Cricetulus griseus: one gene and its partner. Each later gene encodes a partner of the first gene's protein in a complex. Links are inferred from orthologs where the notes say so. Each region holds a gene or a part of one and is shown on either strand. Other genes may lie near its edges.

What was found.
Region 2: Htatsf1 (region 1) and Sf3a3 share a complex: the UniProt entries of both Homo sapiens proteins name them as parts of the 17S U2 SnRNP complex. The link is inferred for Cricetulus griseus from reciprocal best matches to the Homo sapiens genes HTATSF1 and SF3A3.

Annotation. Positions count from the first base shown.
Region 1 is NC_048604.1:15,383,322-15,387,072, forward strand, and holds the start of Htatsf1 (HIV Tat-specific factor 1), read right to left. Parts: upstream 2,728-3,751; 5' UTR 2,585-2,727; intron 2,358-2,584; 5' UTR 2,302-2,357; coding exon 2,113-2,301; intron 510-2,112; coding exon 329-509; intron 1-328. UniProt on the Homo sapiens protein: Component of the 17S U2 SnRNP complex of the spliceosome, a large ribonucleoprotein complex that removes introns from transcribed pre-mRNAs.
Region 2 is NC_048595.1:28,339,854-28,343,504, forward strand, and holds part of Sf3a3 (splicing factor 3A subunit 3), read right to left. Parts: intron 3,591-3,651; coding exon 3,521-3,590; intron 1,612-3,520; coding exon 1,447-1,611; intron 1,361-1,446; coding exon 1,250-1,360; intron 86-1,249; coding exon 1-85. UniProt on the Homo sapiens protein: Component of the 17S U2 SnRNP complex of the spliceosome, a large ribonucleoprotein complex that removes introns from transcribed pre-mRNAs.

The DNA.
Region 1 (3,751 bases):
CAAATAACAAGAATCACATTATGAAATCCTGGTAGTGGCAGCTTCTTAAAAACTTTTAGAATGTTCTCTTTATTTAAGAAAACTAAGTCTAACTCAAATCATTACCCAGCTTTCAAAAATACATAAACTTCTTGATTGAGAATGTTTTAGGGCTCTCTCTGAAAAAGAAAAAGGCTATCTCAATTCTTAATGACTTTACGCCTACATAAAAGTGAAAACTTACATTATGTTCCTTCAATGCTAGTATAATCCTCCAAAATGTAAAATGTATTTACACATTTTCCTATTTCTTTTTTACACCCAGGTTTTGCAAAACAGAACCACTTGCCTGATTCGGCCTTTCTCTTTTCTCCCCTCTTTTTGGAGTCAGTGGTTTCTGGGGTTTCTCTTTGTGGAGGTTCTTCTACTGTCTTTGGGTTGGGGTCCTGGACATTCACAGTAGAACTAGATGCACCATCACTAGAAAAGCCGTAATTAGCCTGATACGTAGCAATGAAATCTTCAGTGATCTAGATGGGTTAAGTCAGCACATATGCAGACATGGTTACTTCATGTGTTATACAACTGTACATTCAGTAATATAATCTAAGACTTTAACAAGTGTTTATGCCAAGGGTAGTTGTAATAATTAAAATATAATAGGAGAGCAGTCATCTTATATAGAAACTGTAACACGAAAAAAGTACGAAACTATGAAAAAGTGCTCAAACTACCAACAAAAAAGTATGAGAGAATTTTAAGTGATGCTAGCACCTTTTCTAGTTGTCTTATAAATTCTTGCTTCTCCACAGTATATCTGACTAAGGTGGCCGATACAGAGAACAAAAGAAGTATCAAATAATGATACAGAGTAAAACCAAAAGTCAACTAGAAATCTAATCACAGAATCCACTTTTGGATGCACAAAAATACGTATGTACACTAAGATTTTTATGTTTATGTATGAAGCTGGAAACTGCTAGAACACAAAATGCCCATTTGAGTTTGAGCACTAATTCAGAGAAACGCTTAGTGACAGAACAAAATCAAAGGCAAGCCTGATACACACCCATCGCCCTGGCTTTGCAGGGGAACCCACTATTGTAGAATGGCTGAATGGCTGAATGAGTTATGAGTTATGACTATCACTTTCAGGTACACAGAAAAGTGAAAATTTTACCCCCAAAGTTTGAAGAACCAGGGTTTTAAGTAACGTAAAAGATAAAGTTACCAAGTAATTGCCGTCGGACTATTAAAAGGGCTCAGAAGGTAGAAGAAATCACATCTACATTCAAGGTGGCATTACAAGTCCAGAAACGGGATAGCAAATTTCAACAATTTGGGGAGCTTGAGATATGGACAAATATAAAATAAGAAAGAATAGCTGAAATACTTTTTAAACTAACACTCGGTCTACACAATGGAGACAAGTTTTTTTGTGATTGGCTCCCAAGTCACTTGACGGGCTGTTCGTAACCTTTAATACTAATGCCCCTCCTAGGCTAAGACTAACAGCGTACTTTCTCCATACAGCTTACACTAGTTATTTCCACGTTGAAATTAAACACACAGCAATTTCCAAGTACTCAAAACGAATGTAGAGACCTTTTCCAACCATTTTCTGTGCTTTCCCAGTCATATTCCTGTGGTTACAAGAGTCAAACTTAGATGCCCTGGAACAAAATTCAGTAGAAAAATAAACCAAGACGCAAGGAAAGTTTATTCAATAGAGTGGGGTAAAAGCCTTCTTTCCCGCCCCCTAAATCAACAAGCTGCATTTTATCCACAGCATGGACACTAGACATCTCACAGGTTTGGCTATACAGGATAAAACGGTTACAAATGTGTTTTCCTTGGTGTTTTTCCTTTTGGCAATAAAAAGCAGTCATCAATATAACGCCTGTGACCTTCACAAAAATTAATAAGGCATAAAGAACATTTCAGGCACCACCATAAGGTTTTCTTTCCTTTATACATCGGATACTGGAACGGACGGAACAGACGAGCCATCAAGCAGCGGTTCAAGGACCTAGTACTTGAGAAGAGCAAACGTAAGAGGGGGTGTCCGGCAAGGGTGTCCAGGGGAGCCCACAGCCACGCTCCGCAGCGGCAGTCCAGCCACCCTTTTCTTACCTTGGGGAACCAAGCCTTCTTGTCAAGGTCCCACTCGTAGGGAGTGTCATCCTGCGGTTGTCCCCCCGCAGATTCCGTTTCTCCGGAGGCATCGTTCGGGGTGTCACCGTCCTTAGGGTCCCCGTACAATTCTTGCATTCGCAACTGTTCGTCAAACTCGTCGTTCGCGCTCAAGTTGTTGCCACTCATGTTTCTGAAGCGGGGCCGGGAGCAGCGTTCAGAGACGTGAAGAGGCCGACAGGGCGCTGGAGAAGTGAGAGAGCCGGAGGTCGGCAGAGCTCAGGTCGTGTGCGGTGCAGCCCCCTTGGCCCGCCTCCCCGCAACGCCCCAGCAGTCCCTGGGAAGGCTGAGCCGCGCCGCGCCGCGCCGCGCCGCCCAGGCTCCGCCCTCCCGGCCGGCCCACAGGCGCGCGCGCGCGCGCGCACTGGCGTTCCGAGGCCGCCGGCGGCGCAGTGGCCGCCACCCCACCTACCTGGCGGGCTCGGCGGGGCCTGGACGCCCCCGCTCGGGCCAGGGCGAAGCGGAAGCGCGCAGGCGCGCCGTCACCGCCACCGTCGGCTCCGGAGGCACCACAGCTCCCTCCCGCCTCAACAGGAAAGTCGCTTGAGAACGGAGTCCGCCTCAGGCCGATGCGGTCGCCATTGACCGCGCGTGGCGACGTAGCGGGTCGCGCTGACACGCCCACTCTTGCGTCAAATGGCCGCGACGCGGGGCGGGGGCGGGGCGGGGGCGGGGGGGGGGGGCGGGGGGGCGGGGCGGGGCTGCCAGGGAAGGCTGCCGCCGGAGTGTCCGTGCACCCGATGGGGACGCAAGCCTGCAGGAATCCATGACACCGCAGGGGCCTTGGGCCCGGCGGCGTCCTCTGCACTTTGGACGAGGCGACAGCCTCATTCTGACAGCAGTGCTGGCGCGGGCTGGGCTTTGCGGCAACCGCCATCTTGGGGAGGTGGGTGGGACCGTGGGGACAAGTTTCTCCCGCTTCGCGAAAGCCATGCGCCTCTTTTCACGCCAGATCCCGCCCCTGCGAAGGAACCAAGTATATCGTTTTGAATTTCTTGTCCTACACTACACGACACACGGCTTTTGCTCATCTCAGTAACCCAAACCAGTAACATGCTGTTTGGGATCTAGCGAAGAGTGAGTGAATAAGTGACTGAACATGGGCAGAAGGTCCCATCACCTCCTAAGCTCACCCCCTTTTTATGCATCTGGTAGCACCTTCCCTTCAGGTTGCAGTTGCTGAGGGTAGCAGTTGCCTGCATCATACTGCAAGGTACCAGAGGTGCTGAGGCCTGGAACTTGACGCTTGACTGTAAACATCCCCGTGTACAAATGCCAGCTGGACCATGTGGCTCGGTTTCTTGTCTCTTAGAAAGGCAACCAACTAACTGCCATAAGCAGAACTTTTCCCCAAAATACTTCATGTCTCTCTACACGACAAGGGGTCCATGTTTTAAAACAGGCAGGTTTATACTGCACTCCTATTAAGTGCCAGGCACTGGGGGAGGTTCTGGGACAGCAGTCGGGAAGACAGGCACAGATAAGGGAGACTCACTTATGATTTGGCGAACAATAAAATAGAAGTACCAGAAGCTGGAGAGCAGACATCATTTTGTTTTCAGCATCCTTTTATACTCAA
Region 2 (3,651 bases), on another chromosome or scaffold:
CAGCATCTTCAATCTGTGTCACATTTGCAAAGTGGGCAGTGTTTGGGATGCCCAAACACCTCATGCCATGAGCATGACGCCATTCCTAGAAGAGAAGCAAAGGGACAATGTGAAGCAGAGACAGTTGAGAGAGCACTCACTTCATTCTACCAGACCCAACTCCAGCAAAAGGAAGCATCCCTTCTGAGGTGTGTCTACACACACAGCTGGCTGTGACTGACACAGGCTGGCAATGTCAAGCAGGGCTGCACTGTCTCAGGCTTACAAACATCAGATTCCAGGGTTGGTGTTGTTAGAAAAGTGCAACTCAGACTCATTACTCAATCCTATGGAGAAGCTGATAGAGCCAGCAACCATAGCAGCAGGGCTGTGAGGGCAGGCTGGTATCCCTGGAGGTACAGGAGCAAACTGCTGAGCAGACAGAGCATGGTGAAATCACAACTTCAGCTTAAAGCCACCATAGGCTTTATCCTGGACACCAACCCCAATCACCTGAGGTGGTACTAAGAAAAACTCAGCTCATCAGAGGCATAGAGAAAAAGACCCAGGGGCAGCTAGTAACATGTCTCAGAGGGGAGTTCATGTAATTCGCCATGTTTGTCTAGTATTAAGTCTCTTCCATTATGTAAAATGCCCTCCAAAAATGGACAGAATGCAACAAGGGTGAACCCACTTAAAATGAGGTAGTAGTACTCAGACACAACTTGTGTCAAGAATAGGTCAGTAAATATCAGGGCCTATTTTTTTCTGCAAAGAGGCAAAGGCCTATTTAAAACCTAAAAAGAACCCACAACTACAAAAACCTGCTCAGCCCCCTTTAATAGCAATGTAGAGACGACCAAGAAGCCAGAGATGGTCCAAGATGCTATAGAAAAACAAGAAAAGAGTGGTGGCGCAAGCCTTTAATCCACACTTGGGAAGCAGAGGCAGGTGAATCTGAGTTCAAGGCCAGCCTGGTCTACAGAGTGAGTACCAGGAGAGGCTCCAAAGCTACACAGAGAAACCCTGTCTCCAGAGAAAAGTATAAGAACAAGCAGGAGGAAGCCACATGAAGTTCCACAGCAGAGTGGTAGCACGATTCCAGATACGACCCAGGTTTCAGGGCTAGCACAGCCGATGGCCATTGGCACAGGCCTCTCTGATTCCTTTCAGCTCTGGACACTAGAGGCCTTCACAGACTGCTACCATTCTCCTCTCTAAAGAGTTGTTTCTACTCAATTCCCAAGAGAAAAGGCTCTGAACTTCTTACAGCAAAGTGCCTCTGGAAGGCCTTCGGCCCTCGGTAGGTGTAGTTTCCACAAATCTCACAGTTGTAGTTGATGTTCAGGCCATGAAGCTTATACAGCCAGTAGGGGATGGGCTAAAAGAAACCAAACAACAGCATTAGATTACCAAGCTCTTGTGTGCTTCCACAATGGGAGAGGAGAGGGGTCCCATGAGGCTTACTTTGCCGTCCCAGCCCAGGGGCAGGTTTTTGGGGTTGTAAATGATCTCATTCTCTTCGTCTTCACTTTCGCTCTCACTGATCTGCTCCTCCTCCTCCTCCTCTCGCTCTTCTCCTGTCCTGGCTTGCTTGCGCTGTACATTTTCATGAGTGAGCTGTCGCTGTTCCTAAGATGGGTAATAAAGAGCAAAGACAGAGGAAATTAGTGTAGACATGAAGGGACAGTTTCTCTAACTCTTGCTGATGCTTTCCTGCCAAGGATAGGTTTTGGTTGTAGAATAAGGGTTGGCAAGACGGCTCTGCTGTTTAAAAAGTACTTGCCAGGTAGCCTGATGACCTGAGTTCAAGCCTCAGAATCCAGGTAAAAAACCACATCTACAATCTTAGCATTTAGAACACAATGGGAGGTGGAGACAGGAGACTCACCTGGAAGCCCATGGCAGACTAGTCTGCAGCATGAAGCACAGTACCAATGGGAGGGAGATGGGGCCTCAGACCAAGGTGTGAAGGTGTGAACAGAGTCCTGAAACTTGTCTTTTTTTTTTTTTTTAAAGAATTTTATTTATTTATTATGTATACAGTCTTCTGCCTGCATGCCAGCAGAGGGTACCAGATCTCATTCAAGGTGGTTGGGAGCCACCATGTGGTTGCTGGGAATTGAATTCAGGACCTCTGGAAGAGCAGTCAGTGCTCTTAACTGCTGAGCCATCTCTCCAGCCCCTGAAACTTGTCTTTTGACCTCCACATGTGAGACTATATTCACACACGTCACATACATGTCATACATACACATGTATCTCTGTCACACACACACCCCACTCAGTAACTTTAAAAATTAATAGAAAATAGGAGAGTAAGTCTTGCCTTCTTGTTAGAACCATGCTCACAGTCCACACCTGGTTCTGAAGGAAGTCCAAGGTTTTAGTGCACAAGCCTGGATCCTCACAGGTCTCAGCACTGCTGAGCCAGTCTTTCTACTGTGGTGACCGCCCTGCCCAAGACGGCCACTTCCATTCACAATGAGTTCCCTATTTGGTTGACTTTCAATGCAGCCACTCATTTCTCTGACCTCAGTGTGAGGTACTTAAGGACCACGACACACTCATTTCATATGGAAAATTCAGTATAATGCTTCAAAACCAACAGCCATAAATAAATGGCGAAGTAATGACAAACATCCTATGGTTCAGAGTGAGAGCAACTTTGGGAAGCACAGGCTAGAACTAGTTAGAATTCAGTAGAACTGGTTAGAATTCAGAGGTGCCATGTCCTGGTTGAAAAAGCAAAACACTTCCAGAAAAGGGAGAAAGCAGTAGGCATACATCAGGCCAAGGGCACGGAGGTAATGGCTTCTCAGCCAGCTTCAGAGGACTGGCCACCCACACTGCTACCCACATTACAACAGCCCATGGTCACTGCCTCGGACATCTAATGTCTGACCAATCTTTCAAGAGACTCACTCATTAGAGAAGCAGCAGGGGACTACTTCCCCAGCTGTGTTGGTGGGTGCTAAAAATAAATCAGAATCATTTATTTCTGTCCACAGAAAGGGCAGATATACAAACAAGTTATCTTGGACAAGTCAAACCTGTTCCACCTCCCACCCACCCTTGGGACTCCCTGAGACAATGCAGGAATGTTCATAGCCGTCTTGGTACTAGCCTTCCTCTAGCCTTGCTTGGTTTTACAATCTCCACATGGGCAGAACACTGTGTCACAGTAAATCACCCCTGAAGCGCTGCTATGAATCACCTTTGTCTTGCCTTTTGAGTGCCTGCTTCTTGGGTCACCCCCGGTCTATGCTGAACCTCAGCAAAGAGCTGCATTATTCTTGATCTGGCTGAAAGGGTGGGGGGGTCTGTTGTCTATGTCTGGCCTTGTGGGAATTGGGCAGCCTTGGGAATATCACTTAACAACAGAACAGGAACCTACTGAAGGGCCAAGGACTTCAAGAGAACCACAATTTAAAATGAATTTTCTGCCTACCCCCTCCTTATTTGAACGTGGGAAAAAAATTCTTCATATCTAATTCCCACACGGAGCAGCACCACAGCTCTCACAAGACAATGCACTCACCCCTAGAATCTCCACGTATTCATAGATCTGAGCTTCCAGGAAAGCAATATCTTTGTTCCTCTCAGTGTCTCTGAGAACAAGAAGAAAGCTGTGTCAGTTAAAGGTTCTTTCTGCACCTACAGCTTTACTCC